2 linked regions of the Alligator mississippiensis genome follow. The protein of the gene in region 1 binds, or shares a complex with, the protein of each later gene. Links are inferred from orthologs where the notes say so. Each region holds a gene or a part of one and is shown on either strand. Other genes may lie near its edges.

Region 1 (6,935 bases):
GGGAATTGGAGGCATTCCCAGATTCAAATTAGGATATTATATAGCAGGGGTGAGCAAAATGTGGCCCTGGGGGCCAGATGCAGCCCACCAGGTCATTCTATCCAGCCTGCAGGGCCCCTAAAAATTTTAGAAAATTAATATTTATTTGCTCTGGGCTGCTTATCATGTGGCCCTTGATTGCTTGCCAAAACTCAGTAAGCAGCCCTCTGCCCAAAATAATTGCCCACCCCTGTTATATAGGGTACATCTACGCAAGTGCTTTACTGTAGAAATGACTAATTAGCTTTGAAGTAAAGAGTCATGATCTACATGTGTGCCCGTATTAAGGCGCAGTAAATTAATTAACTCCACTGTAGGATAGTACTGTCTGGGACAAGTACTTTCCTACAGCAGAGTAGTCACATGTGCCAAAATGCATGTGTATACAGTGATTGGAGCTGCCTGGGGCATGAGGGTGCTACAGTTTGGGGGATGCCTACTAGCTAACTCTGCACTGTAGCACCCTCATGTCCCAGCCAGCCCCTCCACAGCATATTGAGCTGGGGCAGAGGTGCATGTATAAACTCTGCAACCAAGAGCAATAAACTCATGCATGAACTGCACTTCAGTTTATTGCTACCTGCTAACTGCACATGTACATGCACCCATAGAGGGTTGTGATGAGGAGCAGATGTAGAATGACGGGAGGGCTAGTAAATGGTGAATTATTTTGCTGCATCAGGCAACTGGGATTGATTGAGTTAGGAGAGGGTTACTGTCTGTTTTTGGAGGTTTAGGAATGGTTAAGGGAAGTTTGAAGATGGTGCACAAATGGGGCAAACCTGATAATTGGGAAGTGTAGCCGAGAGTGGAAGGAATAGGAAAGTGGGGCTGGGTCAAAGGGGATGGGAGCATAGTATTCAGGTGTGTCTTTTCTTACAGTCATTGCTGTGACTGTAGCTTGGGTAGGCATACCTGAGCTAGCTTGAAAATTAGCTAGCTTGTGTACTGCTCTCTGTAGCCATGGCAGCATAGAACTCCGTGCCAGTTGCAAAAGCAGTGAAAACATGAGGTAAATATGTGGATGGCTAGCCCATTCTGAGCTCCCTGGTACTGCAGATACATTGCTAATGTCACTCAAGCTTATTAGTTTAAATATAGCTTTAGGTATGTCTACACAAACTAAATTCACAATAATATATTTGTGAGCTCCCTAGTGGCATTCTATTTTATGCCTCAGAAGTTGCCAGAAGCCATTCAGAGCAGTACTGTGTTTTCATAACTGGGCTTGGCAAAGCTGTGTATATTTAGTAAACCACTGTGCCGCTTTGGTTTCTTTATATTGTTTGTGGCTAAATATTGGAGAAAGAAGGGGTTGAGAAGGGAGGACTGGGTGTTAGGAAGCAGAGAAGTAACTGAATCTCAATAGTTGGGGTATTATAGTATTGGATATAGGGGAAATGTTTGTAGGGAAAGGGTACAGCAGCCAACTTTTGAGGAACACAATCTGGGGCAGTGCCAGACACTCCACAGGCCTCTTGAACCAGAAATAGCACCACTTATAGCTCTGGATAGTGCGCTTGCCTTAGTGTGGTGCTGCAGGTTGGCTAATTAGACCCATGCAGTACTGTGTGAATGCCAGTATGAAGCCAACTGCCTCCCACACAGGTAGAAGTATAGTTGCATTCTTGCAGCCTAGTGCTGCACCTATTCAAGCTTCAGGACACTTCCTTTCACTGTGAAATGTCACCTCTTTTGGGATCTTTTTTCCAAATTCAGGACAAAATTTAGATCTTTGGGTACAGGCTAAAAATTTGATAATCTCCTGGAAAATTTGGAAAGCCATTTGCTTTAGGGAAGGAGAACCTGTTTGTTGGAGGGTTGAGTGTAGATGGGTTTGCGAATGACAGCTAGGTGAGGACAGAAAGAGGCCTTTGTATAAGAAAGGGAATTAGGGTCGTGGTGGGCAGTTGGAATATGTCTTTGGAAAGGGGTACTATGTTTAGAAATGCGTATAGGGGTGGTTGGGGGGCTGGTAGTAAATCTGGGTATCAGGATGACCATAGGGTTGGGTGTAGGAGTGGATGGCAACTCAGTGTTGGGAGGTGGAGGAGGGTTAGGAAGGAGATTCTAGTTTGGGGAAAGAAAGAGGAAGTTTAGGATAGAAGTCTGAACGTAGTGTGGGCCTGGTAGGTTGTGTTTCAGGAGGTTCGTCCCAGGGTTGCTGTGCATTTCTGAAACTGATTTTGGAAAGATGTATAGAAAGGCCCAGTGAGGAAGGAAGAGATGTCCCTGATATCAGAATGCACAGAATGGGTGGATGATTGGTATCTGGATAATGAAAATGTATGAAGGGACTTGTAGGGAACTTGGTCTGGGGTACTGGGGTTAGTCTGGAGTGGTAGCAGGGTGTCAAGTGGGACAAGTTGGCTGAGAAGGGAGCCTCACTTGCAGTACAGCAGGTCTCTGGAAAGGGGAGGATTTGGAAGCAGGGTGAAAGGGCAAAGTGCTTGGGAAGGAGCTGCTGAGTATCAGGGATGCGTGCACTTGCAGAAGTGGGGCTGGATGCTGAGCAACAGGCTTTGGGGAAATAGGATGTCCCAGGTGGCAGTTTGGGACGATTGGTGGCAGTGGGAAAAAAGGGTGCATGGCAGAAGTGGCTTGAAATGAAGTAGGTGTTGGCTGCCAGGGCTGTGGGGATGTTGAGAGAGTGCGTGCTGGGCACCAGGGGAGTGGATGGTGTTTGGGAAGGGGCTGCTGGCTGCCATGCCTCCACGAATGCCTCATGCATGCCTCATGCCTCCCCAGGCTCGGGGGTACGGCGACCACCCGCAGAAGGCGGCGGGTTGTGGGGGCAGTGAGCGGGGGCCACCTGCAGGCGGCCGCAGCAGTGTCAGGGGCAGGCTGCGGGAGATGGTGAGCGTTGACCGGCGGTTGGCGACCACCCGCAGATGCCGCTGGCAGTGGCGACGGTGGCCAGCGGCAATCGGCAACGGCCCGCAGACGCTGCCAATTGGGGGGAAGGGGAGGGGTGGCGGGCGGCAACCGCCTGCAGGCGCCACCAGCACCGTTGGCAGGGGCAGTCTCCAGGGGTGCACCGACAATCTCAGGGGGTGCATGTGCACCCCCTGCGCGCAGTCAGTGCGTGCTTGTGACGGATGTTGGGAAGGGGACCCCGGGCGGGGTGGACAAGTGGCATGGGCCAGGGGCGAGCGGAGTAGCAGATCCGGCAGGGAGCAGAAAGAAGAGCGAATCGGCAGTGGCAGGGGACCGAGAGGCAGGTGGGGAGGCAGCAGCGCTCCTCGGCCCACTGGTTCAGGACATCAAGGGCGGGCCGCACGCGGTCAGAGGAGGTATTTCAAGTGTGCGGATGCCGGAGAGGACGGGCCTCAAAATGTTTTTCTTTTTCCAAGGAAACGCGTCCCAGGCAACACTGAAGGGGAGCTGCCCCCACCCCCACATTTACGGCCACAGCGTAGCGCCTTGCCGCAGCTCGTAGTACACGTCCCGCCCGTTACGCTGCAGACGCAGCCTAAAGCCTTTCAAGAATACAGACAGAGCCACCGCCTTGCTCCTAACGCAAACCTCACTGCGGCGGTTCCTAGGACACGGGGTGTTAACCCAATCGTTGTGAGATTACTTCATTGCTACGGGAAACAGCCAATCAGCCTCTACATCAATCATTCAATTAAACCAATCGGAGCTGTGCTGAAGAGGGAGGGGAGAAATTGTGACGTTCAGAAACTTAACGTCACGACCCGCAGGAGGGGGCGGTGTTGGTTGAGGAAACGTGATAATTTGACCGACAGTTTCTTAACCAATCGCGCTTCTCTCTGTTCCGAGCCTCATTATGGTTGTCCAATAGTTTTTGCCAGCGGTCGGCCGGGGCCGAGGGAACGTGGGTGCGCGCGCAAACCGTTACTATATAAACGGCGGCGGTTGCTTGACGCACGCAGTGAGGCTGGTGCGGTGCTGTGGGCGGTTCGGAGTTGTCTGCAGAGCCGCCATAATGAGGGAGATCGTGCACCTCCAGGCCGGGCAATGCGGGAACCAGATCGGGGCCAAGGTCGGTGGCAGGGGGCGGGCGGGCGGGCCGGTAGTAACCCTCGGTACGCGGGGGCAGTGGCTGACAGGCGGGAGGGCCGCCGCTCGCTGCAACCTCTGACCTGGGTGTGTCTCTTGCAGTTCTGGGAGGTGATCAGCGACGAGCACGGTATCGACCCCACCGGCACCTACCGCGGGGACAGCGACCTGCAGCTGGAGCGCATCAACGTCTACTACAACGAGGCCACAGGTAGGTGCTGCCCCCGCCCCTCCTGCCCCCCCCCCCCCGCACCCCGATTTCCGGCCTCACTCTGCCTCCCTGTTTTCTAGGTGGCAAATATGTTCCCCGCGCAGTGCTCGTGGACCTGGAGCCGGGCACCATGGACTCTGTGCGCTCTGGGCCTTTTGGGCAAATATTCCGACCTGACAACTTTGTCTTTGGTGGGTGTCACAGGGTTTGTTTGGGATTGGGCGGGCAGGCGGGGGGATAGCTTGCCTTGTCTGTAGTGAACTTTATCCTGGCTGTAGAGGACTTCTTTGGAGCAGGGTAAGCTTCACCTAAGGCTTGGCTCTGTTTGAAGTGGTCACAGGTGTTTTGGGTGGGACGTGGACAGGGGCAAGGAGTGAATTCCTTGTCAACACACTTATGATGCATCCAGTTTCTGTTGCAGTGTAATCACTGCGACTTCGAGTTGATCCAAGGGGGCATTGTGCGAACATGGTAATTGGTGTTCAACCTTCTGGCCCTTTAGAGGAATGGTAAGGGGTCACTCCACAAACCAGCACGCTTTTAATATGTCTACTTCTCTCTCACCATTAAACTTCTGGACCTGGAGAGAGCTGTCTGTGCCATATGTTGAGCACCACTGTTTTTAACAGACTTTGCATGTTGAATACTCGCACTATTTCTTTATAGAATAATCTGGAATAAGAACTTTAAATTCATGAACTGCTGTCTTTTTGCCAGACTTGGCTTCAGGCACAGTCATGTCTATTTTTTTTTTTTTTTTTTTTAATATTAATATTGAAACTTGTTCTTTAAAAAGTAATTAAAGAATAATATTTCTTAAATATTGTCACTACCAGGAAATGCATTCTCAAGCACTCCATTTAAAAAAAACCCATCCAAACCCATAACATCAGCAGTGCCTGTAATGTAATGTAAAAATGGTTTTCTTCCAGGTCAGAGTGGAGCAGGAAACAACTGGGCAAAAGGCCACTACACTGAAGGTGCTGAACTGGTTGACTCTGTGCTAGATGTTGTAAGAAAAGAGGCAGAAAGCTGTGACTGCCTCCAGGGTTTTCAGCTTACACACTCCCTTGGTGGAGGCACTGGCTCTGGTATGGGCACCCTCTTAATCAGCAAGATCCGTGAAGAATATCCAGACAGGATCATGAACACTTTTAGTGTTGTGCCTTCACCTAAAGTATCGGACACTGTAGTAGAGCCTTATAATGCCACACTTTCTGTACACCAGCTTGTAGAAAACACAGATGAAACCTATTGCATTGATAATGAAGCACTATATGACATCTGTTTCAGAACGCTGAAGCTAACTACTCCAACATATGGTGATCTGAACCATTTGGTGTCAGCAACCATGAGTGGAGTGACCACTTGCCTACGTTTTCCAGGCCAGCTTAATGCTGACTTGCGTAAACTTGCAGTTAATATGGTTCCTTTCCCCCGTTTGCACTTCTTCATGCCTGGCTTTGCCCCACTCACCAGCCGTGGGAGCCAACAATATCGGGCTCTAACTGTGCCAGAACTCACACAGCAGATGTTTGATGCAAAGAACATGATGGCGGCATGTGACCCACGTCATGGCCGCTACCTCACTGTAGCTGCTGTTTTCAGAGGCCGCATGTCAATGAAAGAGGTGGATGAGCAAATGCTTAATGTACAAAACAAGAACAGCAGCTACTTTGTTGAGTGGATTCCCAATAATGTTAAAACAGCTGTTTGTGACATCCCACCCCGTGGCCTGAAAATGTCTGCTACATTCATTGGTAACAGTACAGCTATCCAAGAATTATTTAAGCGTATTTCTGAGCAATTTACTGCTATGTTTCGCAGAAAGGCTTTCTTGCATTGGTATACTGGGGAGGGCATGGATGAGATGGAGTTCACTGAGGCTGAGAGCAATATGAATGACTTGGTATCTGAGTATCAGCAGTATCAGGATGCTACAGCGGAGGAAGAAGGGGAGTTTGAGGAAGAAGCTGAGGAAGAGGCAGCATAACATTTATGCAGTAGCAATTCCTGTATATTATGTCTAAAGCTGTATGAACTCTTTCCATTCAAAACTTTTTTGTTTTTGTTTGTCTGTATTGTGTGAATCTTTTGCTGTTCCATGACAACTTCATGTCCACTGATGTACAGACAATTAAAGCATCTTTCAAAATGCATGAGCTTGTTGCTTTTGTTTCTGGTAAGCTTTTCGGGAACTGTTGCCAAAGGTCAGCATGTAGTTGTTTCTAATAGCTGGAAAATAAAATGCAGTAAAGTTAGCAAGTATTCATGCAAAAATAGTTTTGATTGGACAAATTTGTGGAACAAAGCTAGACAGCTAGTAAACTCAAAATATATGCCTGCTTGCAAGGAAGGGATGGTGTGGCAAGATGGTGCTCTTGTCAAAGAGCCTGCTACCCTAGAGGTGGTGAAAGGGATTGGGTGGGGGTGGGGGGGGGGGTGCAGAAGAGTCTACATCTAGTTCAAAGACCTGACAACAAGGTTAGTGCATCCCTCCTCCACCATCGCCTTTATGCTTCCTCTGTTAAACATAGGGAAAATCATGTTCCTATACCTTCCCCATGGGGAGCTGAGCCTCCGGCTTCTGCCATGTACAATCTTCACAGCAAGGTCACTAACCCATTGGCAGTGGGTGGGTGAGTGGAGGTAGTCAGAATTT
Region 2 (7,936 bases), on another chromosome or scaffold:
TTGCCTCTGTCTCTCTCTCCCTCCCCCTGGGCGTGTACGTATTTGAGGAGGTAGGGCAGAATTTGAAACCTTATTACTCTTAATTCATTCCTCTTTTCTGCACTGACTCATCCATCCTTCAATCTGAGACTGCTTTCACTTACTTCAAGTTTCTTCATCACGCTTCTCTTCACTGTTTGGTCTGGAGCGCAGAACGGGAAGCGAACAAAGTCTGTCCTGTAGGTGCTATTGCTGGGCTTTGTAAATTCTTGTGTCGGCTAGAAAAAGAGGTATGCACTGCATCTGGGTTATTCACACTCAGAACGGCTGAACCAAGAGACCAGGAGCCGTCATCAAAACAATTGCCTCTTGCGGGAGATTTTCACAGCGCAGAAACTGGGCATTGAAATTGGGCATTGAACTCATTTGTGCTTGTCCACCAAAGCAGAAATGAATCTGGTGTCTACAGAACCTCTGTCAATAAAAAGAACCACAAAGCCAATGGATGTGGCTTTAGAGTCACTTGGGGAAATACTTGCTGTTTGTTGAAGCCTTTCTTAACCCTCTGTCTCGGGTATTCAAATCAATTAGCGTAACCTCTCTTTGTGAAATCCTTTGCGTGTGAATGCACGATGGGCTTCAAATACAGGCCCTGCGGTGGCTTGTTGTCATAGCTTTTTTTGTGATCCAGGGATTAATTATTGGAGGGGGAAGCGGAGGGGGAAGAGCAGTTGATTTCACTCTTCTTGGTACTTTGCTCATCTCCCACCGGTTCAGGGTTGCTCCCTACCAATACACTTTCTACGATTTATCCAGCTTAATCTTAAGTCTCACAATTATTATAAATTCATGAGTCACTTCTTTTGAAAGGAATAGGTGTGTTTGGTAAAAAAAAAAATAAAATTCTGAAAATATTTTGCTCAGTTATCCTTACGACCAATATGGTATAGGAGGCTACCGGGCTCCTGGAAGTGCTGGTGTTTACCCGGCATAAACCCAGTATTCACAACAACCACGATCTTCACAGGTCCTCTGGTACCTTTGCTAAATAGGTGGGGTGTTGCAGGTATTAGTTTATGAAGCGGGAGAGGTAACCAGGCCTCTGTCCTGTAATGCATGTTCACTTCTCCCAGCACTGCCCTTCCTCCCTCCCTTCCTGCCCTCTGTATTCAGATCACTCTCTCCATTTTATACACTGCTCTACGCACATCCTGTCACAGCATCTGATGGAGTGAGCTTGTGCTCACAAAAGCTTATGCTAGATGTATTTCTGATTTAGTTAATCTATAAGGTGCAAATCTACCCTGCCTTCTGTGTATTAAATTGCCAATGCAGTATCACTCTGAGATGATTGGAGGTTAGTGGTGGGGGAAATATTATTTTTTTCCCATGGGAACCCGCTGAGGTAAGACCATATAGAAATAGGAAAGAGAAGGGCCTTGCCCCAAGAAGCATATATTCTAGGGTATTGTCCTCTATGCAATACATTGCACTTACTAGTTACAATTTTTTTGATTCTTGGAGATTAAAAACCCCCCCAACACAAATACAAACTGCATTAGACATGCAATTTGAGTGTGGAGAGGAAGAAAAGAGGTTGTCTAAAAAGACCTCAGTCTTGGGGTGTTGCCATTTTAAATAAAGCTCCAGTTATCAAACCATCTTACCCAGTAAAACTTAAATGTATTTATTTTCTTTTTGAAAACTAAGGGAATTGCACCCTTCCAGGAGAACTGTTTGTGACATACCATTATGAAACAAGCTGTTTTTGTTGCATTTTGTTTTGGGTTTTTTCCCAAAGCGGTGCTCACAAAGACAGATAGCATATGTTAAAAGAATGGAAAGTTGGCAAGGTGCATGAATCTCACAGCGAAACACAAAAGTATGCTACAGCATAATAGGAATGAAAAATAATGAAGTATTATTACAACACTTCTTTCACCTAAGGAACCCAGGATGCTTGAGAGATTTTTAGATGCAGGTGATAAAATGTCTGTTGGTATGGGGGTCACTTCAACAACCACTAAAAACCATTGAGAAGGAAGGACGATAGCTTATTAACAGTACAAGATACAGGGATAAACATCTATGCATTTGTGGTCATCTCAGGCAGACAGAAAGTAATTACCCAACTGGAATGGGGCTGAAACACTGGAAGTTAACATACCTAGTCCTGGGAAAAATACCATGGGAAAATACATGGCCAAAGGTCGTATGTTGTCTGTCAGCCACTGTGCCTTCATACTCGGGCATTGCTTCAGTCCTGGTTCAGTGGCAAGACTGCCAGCCCCTGCCCAGGATGCAGGCTGGTAAACCGATTTCTGCCATTCCTCCTTTGTTCGTTTTAAGATGGATCACAATCCCAACTTCCCCAATATTTGGTAGTTGATCATCTCCAGAGCATCCATTCCAACTTTCTCTATTCCTCTTTTCCCCCTTCCCCTCTATTGCTATTTCGCCGCTTTCCTTATTCCTCCTTTCCCCATCTTACCCTTTGCCTGTCTTCGAACCAGTTTCCAATGAGAACTTTACTGGAGTATTTTTGTTCCATTTTCCCCATGGGATGAAACAGGTCCTCTACGTCTCCTTGAGATGCAAACATGTTTCTTTGTCTCGCAAGCTCCACCTTCCCTCCTATAACGTAAGAGTGAATGGCTCCCCTACCCTTGTTCTTCTGCAACGTGAACGGTTGTCAGTATGTCAGGCAAAAGAGCTCAGGTAGAAAGGGGCTCAGACTTTCACCTGCCTGCATGTAAGGTGAGATAGTGACTGTGTGCAACTCATTAATTCAGATGCTTCAGAATCACCATTGTTTCCGTTTCCGTGGGGATTGGCAGTGTGTGTAAACACTCGCCAGGCAACGGCATAACCTATTGCTAATAAAGCAAGCTGTCACCCATGAAAGCTTATGGCTCTCTCAACCAGGCCATAAAGTGCCACCCTGTCTGATCTGAGACTAACAGTAGCTGATTACCTCTCTCTATTACTAAGATAGAGAGGGTCCTTTTCTACTGAAGTAAACTGAACGTTTTCCACTCACTGAACAACACTACATTTCTCCAAGTGTGCTCAAGAGTCCTGTAAATTGTAAAGGAAGAGCATCATTAAAGAGGTAATACTTGGACATGAGAATGGCACTAGCTTTAATAAATGGCTATAGAATTTAGGAGGGATACAGGCAATCAGTTATCTCAGAAATTAAGTATGCTTCTGTTGAAAATAGAATAAAATACCCAAAGTACAGTCAGGCCTTCATTTACACAGTGGTTACGTTCTTGAAACAACACGGTGCAAATAGAAATTGCGTAAAAAGACACCAAGAGTCTATGGGAAATAAGGGCTTAGGTTCCAGATGTGGCTGATAATTTGGCCGATAATTGCCCGTGCTGCATGCAGCCGCAGCACAGCACTCAGGCAGCAATTAAATGCAATTAAATTTTACAGTGTGGTCACTAAAAGTTCTAATTTTCTAATAGATTCTGTAAATTTGCTTTATATGGACTCTCAAAGGGAAAATCCAATAGAAGAAAGCGAAAGTAAATCTTTTAGCATGATTCACTGCAAGGGAAGATTTTAGTTTCCCAGTAGAAGTGGAATTCAACTAAACTTGAATTGAGCCCACAAGAGGCCGAGTGATAAAATATCACTAAATGGAAGAACAAACACCATGGGAACAAAGAAAATGACAACATTTAGAAGCCTTTTAGAATAGTTACAGTGTTGTCATAAGCCTCTTAGGAAATTTATGATTTTGTCCAGTGCCTTTTTTCCAGCTGGAAATGAAAGTATGCCATTATCAAACATGGAAATGACTCCATGGAATCCATCCTCAACATGGTACCAGGTCACTTGAACACCACTATCCTCCAGTCGCTTCTTATACAACAGCCCATCATCCCTAAGCACATCATACTCGCAGGTCAGGATGAAAGATTCAGGGAGCTGGCAGAAAATGGCATCTTCCGCTAAAAGTGGGGAAAAAGTTGGCTCACATATTTCCTTAACTTGCTCATAAACTTCCTTTTTGCATTCAATGAACAACTGTGGCTTATAGCCTCTGACCTTGAATTCTTCAGGGATGTTGTCAAGACTCAACCATTTCTTGTACTTCAGTTTTATGTCCGTGGGAATATGGGTGCCCTCCAAGACATCTTCCAAAACCGATACGTCCCCATTCAGGCACAGCAAAGCAAAGAAAGGAACACGTTCTCGGAACAAAAGTGGCACCTTACAGTTTTGTAGGTATGATGGCAAATTGAAGTCCAATCCCTGGACGAACGGATAGATCAAGACCTGAGCACGAGGTTTAGGAAGGCCTGGCCTACTCACGACTGCTTGGCTGACAAGAGCAGCAAGATGGCCTCCAGCACTGTCCCCAGCTATGATAATACGTGTGGGATCCACTCCATAGTCTTCTGTATTCCTCATAAAGTGTATGGCAGCTGTGAGACAGTCATCAAACTGTGCAGGATACTTGTGCTCAGGGGCTAAACGATACCTAGTATATCAAAGAAAGAGTTATTATAAAATTGAGAGACTTTATAATTGGCTCTTTATGTCTTACAATTGTCTTAATATTCAGCCCTCATGGGGGGGGGGTTGGTTTTCTGTTGGGTTTCTTTTTCTGTTCCTTTCCCACCTTAGCCCCAGACTCTCTCTGGGCTCTTGGCTAATTCGTTTAATCATTGTGTGCTTCAATGACATCTGTCCAATGGGAATGATAATACTTGTTCCTATATTATTTTTACTTCTTTGAATATTTGTGGGGTTTGTCTTGTCCACTTCAATTGCATGGCTTTTGGGCAAGTGCAGTATCTTACTATGCGATTATGCAGAGACTATAAAAGTACGGAGCCAACATAAATTGATGCCTGAAAGTTATTCCACAATATAGGATACAAGATGAAAGATTTCTTATTCAAGCCAAAATCTCAAGGGCAGTTCGTCTAGCCAAGAATTGATTAAGAGGAGGAGTAGTTAACTCGGTATCTAACAAGTTTATAATAATTATTAGGGGAAGACAAAGAGATTCATGTTGTAGTAAAATGATCTTTATTACATTTGCTTTCTCCCCCCCGCCACCTTTTATTTTTTTTTATTTTTAAGTTCCAGCAGATGTCCTTGCTGTGTTCTGATGCAAGAGCTTACTTTGGGCCTATTAGGACCATCTCAGCACAAGACGAAAGTAAAAAGCTTTAAAATTCACTCAGCCTCAGTCTTTCTGAGTTACTGGAATGTAGAAATAATGTCTGAGAAAGGGGGTCTCCAAAACCAGTGCATCCCTTCAAAGTGCCTATCACATAAATAGTGAACAACCTCCACATAATAGCACCGGGTGGGGTTCACTTACTCAACTGAAGCAACCACTGATTCACTTTCTCTGGCAATGTAACGGCACAGCTTTTCATGGGAATCTGAAAGAAAAATGTTTTTTTCTTGATGCTTTGCTAGTGTCTTAAGGATTTCCAATTCCATGACCTATTTTCCCCAAGATTACAGTTAAAGAAAGAAGAAATTCTCTCCTTCCCCCATTCACTCTTAAATGCTGCCTTCCTTCATGCCCTATTAGTTCTTCTAGGCTGTCCTGATGCTTGATACAGCCAGTAAAGTTTGCCAAGTGCTCTCCTACAAAAAACATCTGATACAGAATCAGTGCAGCTAACCAGAAAAGTTAAACATCAGAGCATCTCCCAAATCTCAGGTGAAAGCCAAGCTCTGTTTTTGATGTTGAGGTTGGTAAAAGCATAGAGAAATCTTTTTAGAAATATCCATCTCAATTTTTCTGTTAAACACATGCAAGGTTGCCAACCCAAGCCATTTTTATTGATAATCTACAATTTTTTTACTGACAGGCAATATTTTTACTGACATACATTTTACATAATGTAAATTTAACCATTCTGCAAGGCCTTGGCCAGGGGATGGTTTCAAACTTAGGTGGTTAACACCAACCATAGTAAATAATTTTGGTTGTCAGTAAACTTTGCAAATTGGGTAATTGCAAATTACCAATAACTTTTCCCCTTGGTTTGGCAACCCTGCTTGACTTCAGGAATGGTTTTACACTGTGCTGCCCCCCACCACAGAGGTCCCATTTTCACCCCCACACCTGATGCCCTGGATTGCATCCCGGACCATGTTGCCCTCCAAGGCTTACCCCCACTGGCCCCACCCCCTGTCCTAGCACAGACTCCCAAAGAAAGACTGCTGTCTGTTGACCTGTGACCATGCAGCAGAGGCATGGCAAGCTCATTGACTGCTTGGGGAAGGGAGGGGGCTGGAGCAGGGGCAGGAATGGGGAAGGGGGGTGACAGGTGTTGCCAGCACTGTGGACTGGAGGTTGGTGGGGGAAATGTGAGTGAAGGGAAGGGAAGGTTTACTTTTCCATGCTACTGCTGCCACTGCTATAGCAGCATCAGATCCACTTGGGTGGCAGCAGCCCCTTGGCTAGGCTCTCTAGCCAACCTGTGTCCCATTCGTTCCCTTCCTCACTCTTTCCTTTTCCCCTCTCCCCCCCCCCAACCCCAGTACATAAACATTAGTTGGCAATTCTGGTGCCCTCTCCTAGTTGGATCCCAGCGCTGGTGCCCCATTCCTCTACTGACCAGCCATGTTACAGGCCGGTACTGGAATGCAACAGCACATGTCTGGGGAGAGGGTGAGCTATATAGGCTACAAATCCCTGAGAAGATGCTTCCTACAGGGTGCTGCACTGCCACTCAGATATCTGGTGGCAGTGCTCTTCCCTGTCTAGCATTCAGCCTTGTTCAGAGACAGAGCTTCAATAAAGCTCCTGGTTGCTTAGGTTTTTTTTATGGATGGTTCCATTTTCTTCTTTTTCTATGGACTTTGTAGAGAGGGGTTTTTAGGTTTTTTTTTTTTTTTTTTGTTACAACTGACTGTACATAAATTTACTGACAGTTGGCAATCTTGAATACGTACCGAGGTCTCCAAATACCCAGCCACCACCATGAAAGAAAACAATTCCTCTTCTTTGGCCAGACGATGATGCTCTAGGCTGGTAAACCCTCACAGGCACCGTCTCAAAATTTAGGTCTTTAACGAAGAGTTTTGGGTCCATCCCTGGTTTCTTTCCATATCTTATACACCGGACAAAATTGAGTTGGCTGCAGAGACCCATCCTCTCCAAAATCTTCCCCTAGTTAAAGTGGGACAACCAACTGGTGAGTGCAGGAAGACTCCAGTCTTCTTAGCATATGGAAAACAGCTATACAGTATGCTCAGCTATGCTGTATTTTTTGAAACACAAAATAATTGGTGTTCTTGAAGCAAAAATAATGGACATGTATTAGGCACGAACATAATACCAATAAAATAATACTGACAACCATATACTAGGTGCCAAATGACCGTTCTGGAAGCTGTGGGGGCCTACCTGCAGCATAGGCAGTGTCTATAGAGGCACCTCCATGCACAGCTTTATCAAAGAGCTGTGGCACTTTCACCTCTGGTGAGTCAGACACCTTTGCAAGAGTGGAGCTAGATTCAGCCCTACCCTATTGCCTGGCTCTTAGAGAATTGAAGGCTTCTCCTGCTGTCCTGAGGCAGTATTGCCAAACGTGTTGGTTTCTCTCCTGTCTTCCAGTATGTATGGTTTTTCTTTAAGGTACGGCTTTTGATAGTTTATTGTTTTCAGAGATTCCTAGCAGTTACCTCCCTGGTTAGAGAAAGCTGGGAAAAAATGCCCCCCCCCCCCTTTTTTTTCCTTCTTATGTCTAGTGGTTTTTAAGCCAATACCATGATTCTTTTAGTGATCATTGGTTTCATTAAATATGGCCGTTCAATGAACAACTGACTTTAACTGTAGAGCTGTAGGCAACCCCTGCAGACCCTTTTGTCTCTAACTAACCAACTAGCTAGCTTCTCCATAACTGCGACACTATCTCCCGATTCACAAGTCCCTCAGCCTCCTGCTAGGTAGTATCTCTAAATGATA

What was found. Proteins that work in one complex are often made in the same cells at the same time.
Region 2: the proteins of tubulin beta-4B chain (region 1) and CFAP107 are in contact, whole or in part, in a cryo-EM structure (PDB 9CPB), measured with the Bos taurus proteins. The link is inferred for Alligator mississippiensis from reciprocal best matches to the Homo sapiens genes TUBB4B and CFAP107. Residues at the interface, in NP_001029835.1 of Bos taurus: Lys19, Glu22, Asp26, Tyr36, Asp39, Ser40, Asp41, Leu42, Gln43, Leu44, Glu45, Glu53, Gly56, Gly57, Tyr59, Pro80, Leu215, Leu217, Thr219, Thr221, Tyr222, Gly223, Asp224, His227, Leu228, Ala231, Gly244, Gln245, Phe270, Pro272; in NP_001033296.1 of Bos taurus: Thr74, Val75, Glu76, Gly77, Leu78, Tyr80, Lys81, Leu83, Ile84, Thr85, His86, His87, Gln88, Glu89, Gln92, Arg93, Tyr94, Leu95, Ile96, Ser97, Thr98, Asp101, His102, Pro133, Pro138, Thr139, Asn140, Tyr141, Leu143, Tyr144.

What each region holds. Positions count from the first base shown.
Region 1 is NC_081835.1:40,550,605-40,557,539, forward strand, and holds tubulin beta-4B chain, read left to right. Parts: upstream 1-3,923; 5' UTR 3,924-3,988; coding exon 3,989-4,045; intron 4,046-4,164; coding exon 4,165-4,273; intron 4,274-4,353; coding exon 4,354-4,464; intron 4,465-5,205; coding exon 5,206-6,266; 3' UTR 6,267-6,422; downstream 6,423-6,935. Other genes in the region: CIMIP2A (ciliary microtubule inner protein 2A), read right to left, coding at 6,423-6,508. UniProt on the Homo sapiens protein: Tubulin is the major constituent of microtubules, a cylinder consisting of laterally associated linear protofilaments composed of alpha- and beta-tubulin heterodimers.
Region 2 is NC_081836.1:6,839,267-6,847,202, forward strand, and holds the start of CFAP107 (cilia- and flagella-associated protein 107), read right to left. Parts: upstream 3,014-7,936; 5' UTR 2,582-3,013; coding exon 2,450-2,581; intron 258-2,449; coding exon 144-257; intron 1-143. Other genes in the region: arylacetamide deacetylase-like 4, read right to left, coding at 3,703-4,477, 5,330-5,393, 6,922-7,138. UniProt on the Homo sapiens protein: Microtubule inner protein (MIP) part of the dynein-decorated doublet microtubules (DMTs) in cilia axoneme, which is required for motile cilia beating.